2 linked regions of the Schizosaccharomyces pombe genome follow. The gene in region 1 interacts genetically with each later gene. Each region holds a gene or a part of one and is shown in the gene's direction. Other genes may lie near its edges.

Region 1 (3,762 bases):
ACCTAGAAGCATATTAAGTAGCCGCTACCAAGGGATGAACCCAAATAGTGGAAAAGACGGATTGAGCAATTGACATTCAAAAAAACGGCCTACCGCAATAACAATTTAAGAGATTAAAAATAGATTTATCATTTTTTATAATTTTTTTATTTTTGGGATTTCTTCTGGCTTGGCCATCCAATTGATGATTGTTTATTAACTTACGATTATATTAGTGCTAAACCACCATTATTTATTACAGTCGGTGTTATTAAGCGTATTGCTGACGAGATTTTTTTTCTTGTATGAATCCAAATTTGCGATGCTACGCCTTGACTGTTTTCTTTTTTTCACCATAGTATGTGAAAATTTTCTGATGCCGAAATCTCAGCAATGGTGAAATTTTGCCAAAAAAGGGGTCAATTGATCTTGAATAGGGCTGAAAAAAAAATTCAAAAGTAAATAAAATTAAATATATTTATTTACAAAAAGTTAAGTCGGTTTGGTTTTTCGCTTCTCTTTTTACAAAATTTTTTATTATTTTATTATTTATTTATTAATTTTATATCTAGCAGATCAATATTTAGCAAGCCACCCCGTACAATAATTAAAATAGCTCTTTTCATGACATAGTAAGAAGACTAAAGTGCGAAACATGTTCAATTAACGCCAAGAAAATGCTTCCGTTTACGCCTCCTTCAACCATACCCGAATTTTTTACTCAAAATTTATGTACGTACTTTTGGCTGTATTACAAGAATCCATAGCTAACCTCTGTAAAAGGATATCACCTTATACACAAAGGCTAGGTTATCCTGCTACCACTATAAAGAAAATGAAAGTTCCCATAATGAAGTCTGTATTTTGAATGTATATTGTCACTTTATTTCGCCTACAACCTTCACGCGAACTCAGCAAAAAAGGGAAAACCCTATTTTACAGCGGCTTCAAATCAGGTCCTTATTAGTGCGACCAATTGGCCTTTCTTCCTTAAAATGGCGATTGCCGTTTAAGGAATATCACTAGAAGCCGTTAGCAGCTATTATTTAAATTGGTAGTTTCAACAAGTAAATCGAAGAAGGCATATCTCTTTATACTTTGAGTGGCAACTCAAGAAATTGTTAAAATTAGCTGTTAAAAATTTGCCATAAATATAGAGAGTGAATGTCGTTTTGTTTACTAACAGTAGTACTCATGTACTCTAATCTAAATAGCTGTTTATTTCCAAAAAAAATAGTTTTATAGCTTATTATTCGTAATAATTAGTATTCAACCTTAGATTTGTAATATGCGCTCCGTTGCAAATGCAAAAAGATACTATTAGAGAAGAGCCGATTTTTTAAATTCTCGATGCCGCTGGATCATTTCCACTGTCTGTCTCATTATTTATTCTGTTTTTTTATATGATTCGATTTTATTTGTCTTTTTCATTTATAGCATTGGTCGATTGAAATCAAAATTTGCATTTTTTGTATTCCATTCGGGTTGCCGCCAATGTGTGCCCCTAGTGTGTGCCCCTAGTGTGTCAGGTAAATAACAGCAGTCGAGACAGCGCAATAACCATTGCTTTACAGAAATGAGTAGTAAATCTGTAATAATCTTTGAACTCTTGATTGAAACATTTTTAATTTATTGCCTCTATTTTTTAATGCAATCCCGTTCCATCTTTCCTCTAGCAATTTCTCGATCTATCCAAAAGATATAGGGAGATTGAAGGTGTCCTAATGTGCGATTACGTATCCCTCATCGGTAAACGGCGCACGACTCCGTTTACCGACAGTCGTTAAGTACCTTGATTCAGCGAGTGCTACGGTAACAACGGGTTAAAGGTATCATCTTGTTATCTGAGTCGGATGGCCCAAGGTATCACAATATATGAAGGAAAAAGAGTACTTTATTCGCGTTTCCCATTTTCTACTCTATCTTCCATTCCAATATATAAATTGGACTTTTGCTCGTGTGCAAGTTTTTCGCGCTTTTTATTTATCGTTTGTAAATTAGATTTAAGAGGTTTCGCCTCTTTGGAAATATCTTTCTTTGCCATCCTTCTTTTGAAAAATCGCGAAATTGTATGACCGTGCAATTTTCTTTTTCTCGAAAAGCTAAACGCCAAGGTAATAGGTTTTCGTGAGAGAAACTCTTCCAATTCTTAATTTCAATTGTGAATACAACCGATTGTTGGAGGGTTTACAATTTTTTCCGAAAATTTCTCGACACCCTTGCTATACGTGCCATATAGCTTAGGGACACCATTCTTATTTTCTTTCTTAAAGAAGAAAAACTTCTGTAATACCTTCCGCATCCTTTTTTCATCATAGGAGGGGATCAATTGTTTTCATAATCTGTGCATCTTTTCGTATAGTGTAGACGAGCTACTTCATGTCAATACTTCTCTAATTTCTAGAGAAGAAACAAACAAAATTTAACATCTGTACTTATATTTTCTTTTTTTTGGTTACATTCATTCTCTTATTTCGTTTTTTTTGCTTTATTTACCTCCATTCCCTTTTTTTAGTGTACGGAAAAAAAAACATCGGTTCATTTACAGATTGGAGTTTAATTTATAGACAGCAACTCCTTCCTGTTCCAAGAACTGATACATTCTATTAAAATCCCTGGATCTTTTCTGATATTTATATACTGTTAATCTCTTTATTCGACATTGCTTGTGTCTTTCTGTCGTGTTTACTTAATAATCCAACGTTTATCTATCTGTCTTTTTACATTTTTTATTGTTTTTTAAAGCAATTAATCAAGGATGAACTTTTATTCCTTGTTGCCATCTAGACATGATGTTAGCGCGGATAATATTACTGAAAAGTTCTGCCAATTCTGTCTTTGCTGCAATCCCTGGTATGCAGGTGCTGACACGAGGCAATTAGCAAATGCATTCAATATGATTCCTAAATCAGAGGGTCAAAAATTTGAGATTTGGGTCTTATTTCTCCTTGTCCGGCAATACCACCAAAAAATAATTAACTCTTGGTCCAAGCTGGTGGGTTTTCTTGGTGTGGAACGAAAAGATGAACAATCTACTCAAAAAATACAACAGTATGTTGTTCGTTTAAAACGGTGGATGAGTCAAACACATGTTGATGCTTTTTTCGATTATCTCCTGAATAAACCAAATCCTTATTATCTCGAAATTCCTGAAACCCAACCTCAAGTTCGATGCAATGTAAATGTAACTGATGATTTGGTTATTAAATCTTTACGTGCAGGCTTAATGTCTCATCCAGATGTTAACTCTTCCTCCATCTCCACAATGCGCACGTCAACCTCCCCTTCTAACTGGATTCATTCAGCTAGTGCTAGTTTAGACGACAACACTCACAATCTTGGTAGCTTTGTCACAAACCCTCATGCAGATTCCCAAGAATGCCCTACCCCTCAATCCCTTTTAATGAGAGCGTCCCATCACATGTCTGAACGAGGTTCTCAACAAGCACATCAGACAACTCCTCAAAACCATTCTCTCCCACATCCTCCAAATATGTTTGAACCACCTGACGAAGACCATCAGTTACCTTCCGCAGCCAACAATTCACATAACCATGATCACGCTTTTCAAACTGCTGAAGCAGTTGGCGTTGCTGATTCCATTGATCCTGACTGGCATCAATGGCCTGATGATTTACGAGACGTTTCTTCACCCAAAGAAAGTGACGGGTTGAATGATTCTTGGTCTCGACAAACCAATCAAGTAGAAACGGAAAATGTTGAAAATGAAGCAGGAGTCCCTCGTAAACGCGGGCGTCCGCCAGGAGCTCGTAACAAAATTAA
Region 2 (3,762 bases), 1.2 Mb from region 1:
TTCCCAAAGTTTATTGTTGCTTCTTCCTGGTATGTTTTTTCTAATAATTCCAACATTTTTGCAGCATAGGGGCCCCTCCCAGAGACTCGAGGAAACCGTCCATGAGTGCGTTCAAAATCAATTAAAGCATCTGTACTTCGTTGAAGTAAGCTTTCTTCCAATTTCTCTGGACCAAGTTCTAATGACAAAAGGTCCTTGTCCAAGGGTACGGCATGTAACGGCCATTCAGTCACAAGTAATTCTCCAAACACACCCTCCTCTTGCAGTACCGTCTCAAAGAGGATATTTGAGGTAGGCAAAACAATTACTGTGCTCTCAATGCGTAACATATCCCTTTGAAATTGACGAACATGAGTAGCAACTAGTTTGGCATTTTCATAAGTTGGTCTGCACAAGTAGATTGTCTTTTTCTCAATATCATTTGGAATATTTTCATTAAACCAATAAACCTGAGGTATTCCATGTTCTTGTAAAGTATTGGTAGTAACTATTTGACCTAAAATTCCTGACAGATCACGTTCCAAGAGCAAACTTTTTTTCCCAGTAACCTTTAACACATTATCATTAGCATGTCACTTTTCAAATCCACATACACTGTCTATTAAATCTAACAACTTAAATGTAGCTTTTTCTTTAACGTCTGTAGTCATCAAGCCATGAATTGAGTCCACCAACTCTTTAGGACGTCTGCAGTTAAATGGAGGTAGAGGGAAACACTAGAATGACACTTGATTTCACAAAGCAAAACCCTTAGATGTTAATATTACACAACGTAAATAAAATAGAAAAGAACGGAATGATTTTTCCAACAGTTATTGTTAACTTTAAAAGGTATTGCGACTTTAAAACATGTATAGTGAATTAAGAGCTTCTTGACATGCATCGCAATTGTATTTCACTAACAATACTTAATAAAATAAAAACTACTTTATTGATAAAATTAGGAAAATTTTTCATTTCGTTTTTAAGCTAAAAGGTTTTATAGTTTCAAACAAACTAGTTTCTTTTAATTTGCTATTTAAACTTGTTGACAAGGCAAACTGAAAGTAATGTTACAGCACCTAAGTTAGCAAAATCTATTTATTATTCCGTAACTATAGTGTGTGTTGAGTTATCTTGTTTAATTATTGAAGGAATTAACGATTACTACGATGTCATTTGAATAATGTAAAAAATTGTTTCGCCGAGATTTAGTTTTTCTGTAGCATCAGTAAGGTTATCAATGATTGCAAGATTTGTTCATGAACCATAGAGTTTAAAAAAAAAACAATTGAATTGTTTCGTTAACATGTATGTTTTTTGCGCTTGGTGAAAGCTGGCCAAAACACTGTTTTTAATGGTAACGTATATATAACAGAAGAGCTTATACCTCCCACTTGATGTATAGCTTGAGATAAGTAACGAAAACATTATAGCACACTTAATTTTAGCAGTAAATAGTCATATTACTGGAAATCTCATGCAGGAAATTTAGCGCGATCAGCCAGTCGGCTTTCAGGCAACAGAAAATCATCCATACCCATAGATCGCCAAGCGCCGGATGAGTCTATATCGAGCAAATCCAGCAGCACTCATTGTGCTAGATAGACCGTGGAAATGACCAGCAAACACATCTGATTTTATCGAGTATTCTCACCGTTCGTTATAATTCTTAGCGGATTCGTACTCTTTGTATTCATCGCAAAGAGCAAAGAGACCCTGACAGTAAAACCAAAGAAGAGTATAGAAAGAACGAGGCCGTCTATTACAGGTCCATGTTACTAAGGATTACAGATCGTAATATGCTAAAACGTGAGACAACATATATTTCTTCCAATGATCACCTTATACGATTAAATAAAATAGAATATAAATGACCGATCGTCAACAATAGGTTTTTTCATAACGTCCTAGGCGAGGAAACACCAGTTCCTGTTCGATCATTTGCAGCTAAATGCTCCAAGGCCTCATAAATACTATGGTTGGAGACCTAAGGAATCCAGTATTCTGCATGCTCACTTCTTTTTGTTAATTAATATATGCTTGCATCTTTTTTAAATCCTCCATTTGTTCGTTACTGATTAACAAGCTTAGTCATATAGGAAGAATAAACTGTCGCTCTTTTACGTCATGATCGCTTACCTGTGGTCTTTATATATCGTTTAATTTACTTTATACCAATGAGTATGTATTCGTACATAAGGAGGTGATCCGAGAACAGTATCTTCTTAAGCAATTATGCGTATATTTGTAACTGGTGCAGCTGGGTTTATTGGCTCTGAAATAGTGAGACAGCTTCTTGAAGCCGGACATGAAGTGGTTGGTCTGGTGCGCTCAGAAGAAAACGCGGCAAAACTCAGAGCTGCTGGAGGCACACCTTACATTGGTACACTTGAAGATTTGGATACACTGAAAAAAGGAGTAGCGCAATGTGATGGCGTTATTCACACGGCTTTCGTTCACGACTTTAGTATATATCAAGAGGCCTGTAAGCTTGACGCTCGTGTCATTGAAGCTATCGGCGAAGTCCTTAGAGGAACTGAGCGTCCTTTGATTACCACTTCTGTAACCGCTGTGCTTTCTTCCAACGGTAAGTTAGGCACCGAGATAAGTGAAGTTCCCCAACCACCAATTCCACGCCAATTAGGAGAGGTGACAACTCTTAAATTTGCATCTCAAGGAGTACGTGCTTCAATCCTTCGCCTTCCACCTACCGTTCATGGAGCAGGAGATCACGCATTTGTGCCCATGCTCATTAACGTGGCCAAAAATAAAGGTGTTTCTGCTTATATCGGTAATGGTATGAATTGTTGGCCTGCCGTTCATAGAACTGATGCTGCTAATTTGTTTGTATTAGCTCTAGAAAAAGAAACTGCTGGTTCCATTTATCATGCTGTTGCCGAAGAAGGTATTCCGATCAAAGAAATCGCAGGCATGATTGGCAAACGACTTGATATACCTGTCATCTCCGTATCTTCTGAAGAAGCCACCGAACATTTTGGATTTCTTTCCAGCTTTTTGTCTGTTGATAATCCAACTTCAAGTATTCTTACGCAGCAACGTTTAGGTTGGAAGCCTACGCATTCTACACTAATGACTGATTTGGCCAGTGATGCGTACTTTTAAGCTCAGATGGAAGAATAATGTCAACTCAATAATGATTGCTAAGTTCATTCGAAAGGAGGAGTTTGTGCCTTTATGCTTTTGTCAATATTGGAGCATTTTTGCTTGCAAAATATATTACTATATTTGTAGACAGAAGTCCTATATTGATTGATTGTTTAAACATCAATTTAGAGAATATGCTAATATTTGTGTTGGAGTTGCTTTACGTTTTGATTTGATTTTGGTTTATAGATGAATTATTATCCATTTGAAACATTACAGACGCGTGAATATACTAGGCCACTAATAAACTCTAGCCAAAAATGCGAGTTTCTCACTTTTTTTTTGAAAATTGTAAATCTTGCTCTTTTTGTTCGCTTTGCAAAATCCCACTTTTGATACTAATGGTGTTGTGTTGGCTATAAACGTGATTTGACAAATATTGATGACAATGAACCTTCAAATCCACAAAGTACAGTGAAAATTATAGTTGTCACTATGAGATAGGAAATTAATAGGAAAAGAAGCTCTGTAGTACCGAACTAACGTAAAACCCTTCGACCTCAAATACAGTGGTCGGACAGAAACTGCTGTTTTCGTCTAGTGTGCTCGTAGGCATAATATTGTTTATTAGAATTACTTTATTTGCTTTTTTTTATATATTTAAAAAGGTTATAG

What was found. A genetic interaction does not mean that the proteins touch.
Region 2: of abp2 (region 1) and SPOM_SPBC2A9.02, extra expression of one rescues a mutant of the other (dosage rescue), as found in Schizosaccharomyces pombe (one study listed by BioGRID).

Annotation. Positions count from the first base shown.
Region 1 is NC_003423.3:4,128,965-4,132,726, forward strand, and holds the start of abp2 (ARS-binding protein Abp2), read left to right. Parts: upstream 1-1,900; 5' UTR 1,901-2,737; coding exon 2,738-3,762. UniProt on the Schizosaccharomyces pombe protein: Binds, preferentially, to the Maundrell ARS consensus sequence within ARS3002.
Region 2 is NC_003423.3:2,946,431-2,950,192, forward strand, and holds the start of SPOM_SPBC2A9.02 (NAD-dependent epimerase/dehydratase family protein), read left to right. Parts: upstream 1-2,161; 5' UTR 2,162-2,217; coding exon 2,218-3,105; 3' UTR 3,106-3,762. Other genes in the region: HOPS/CORVET complex subunit, vacuolar sorting protein Vps33, read right to left, coding at 1-548, 594-650.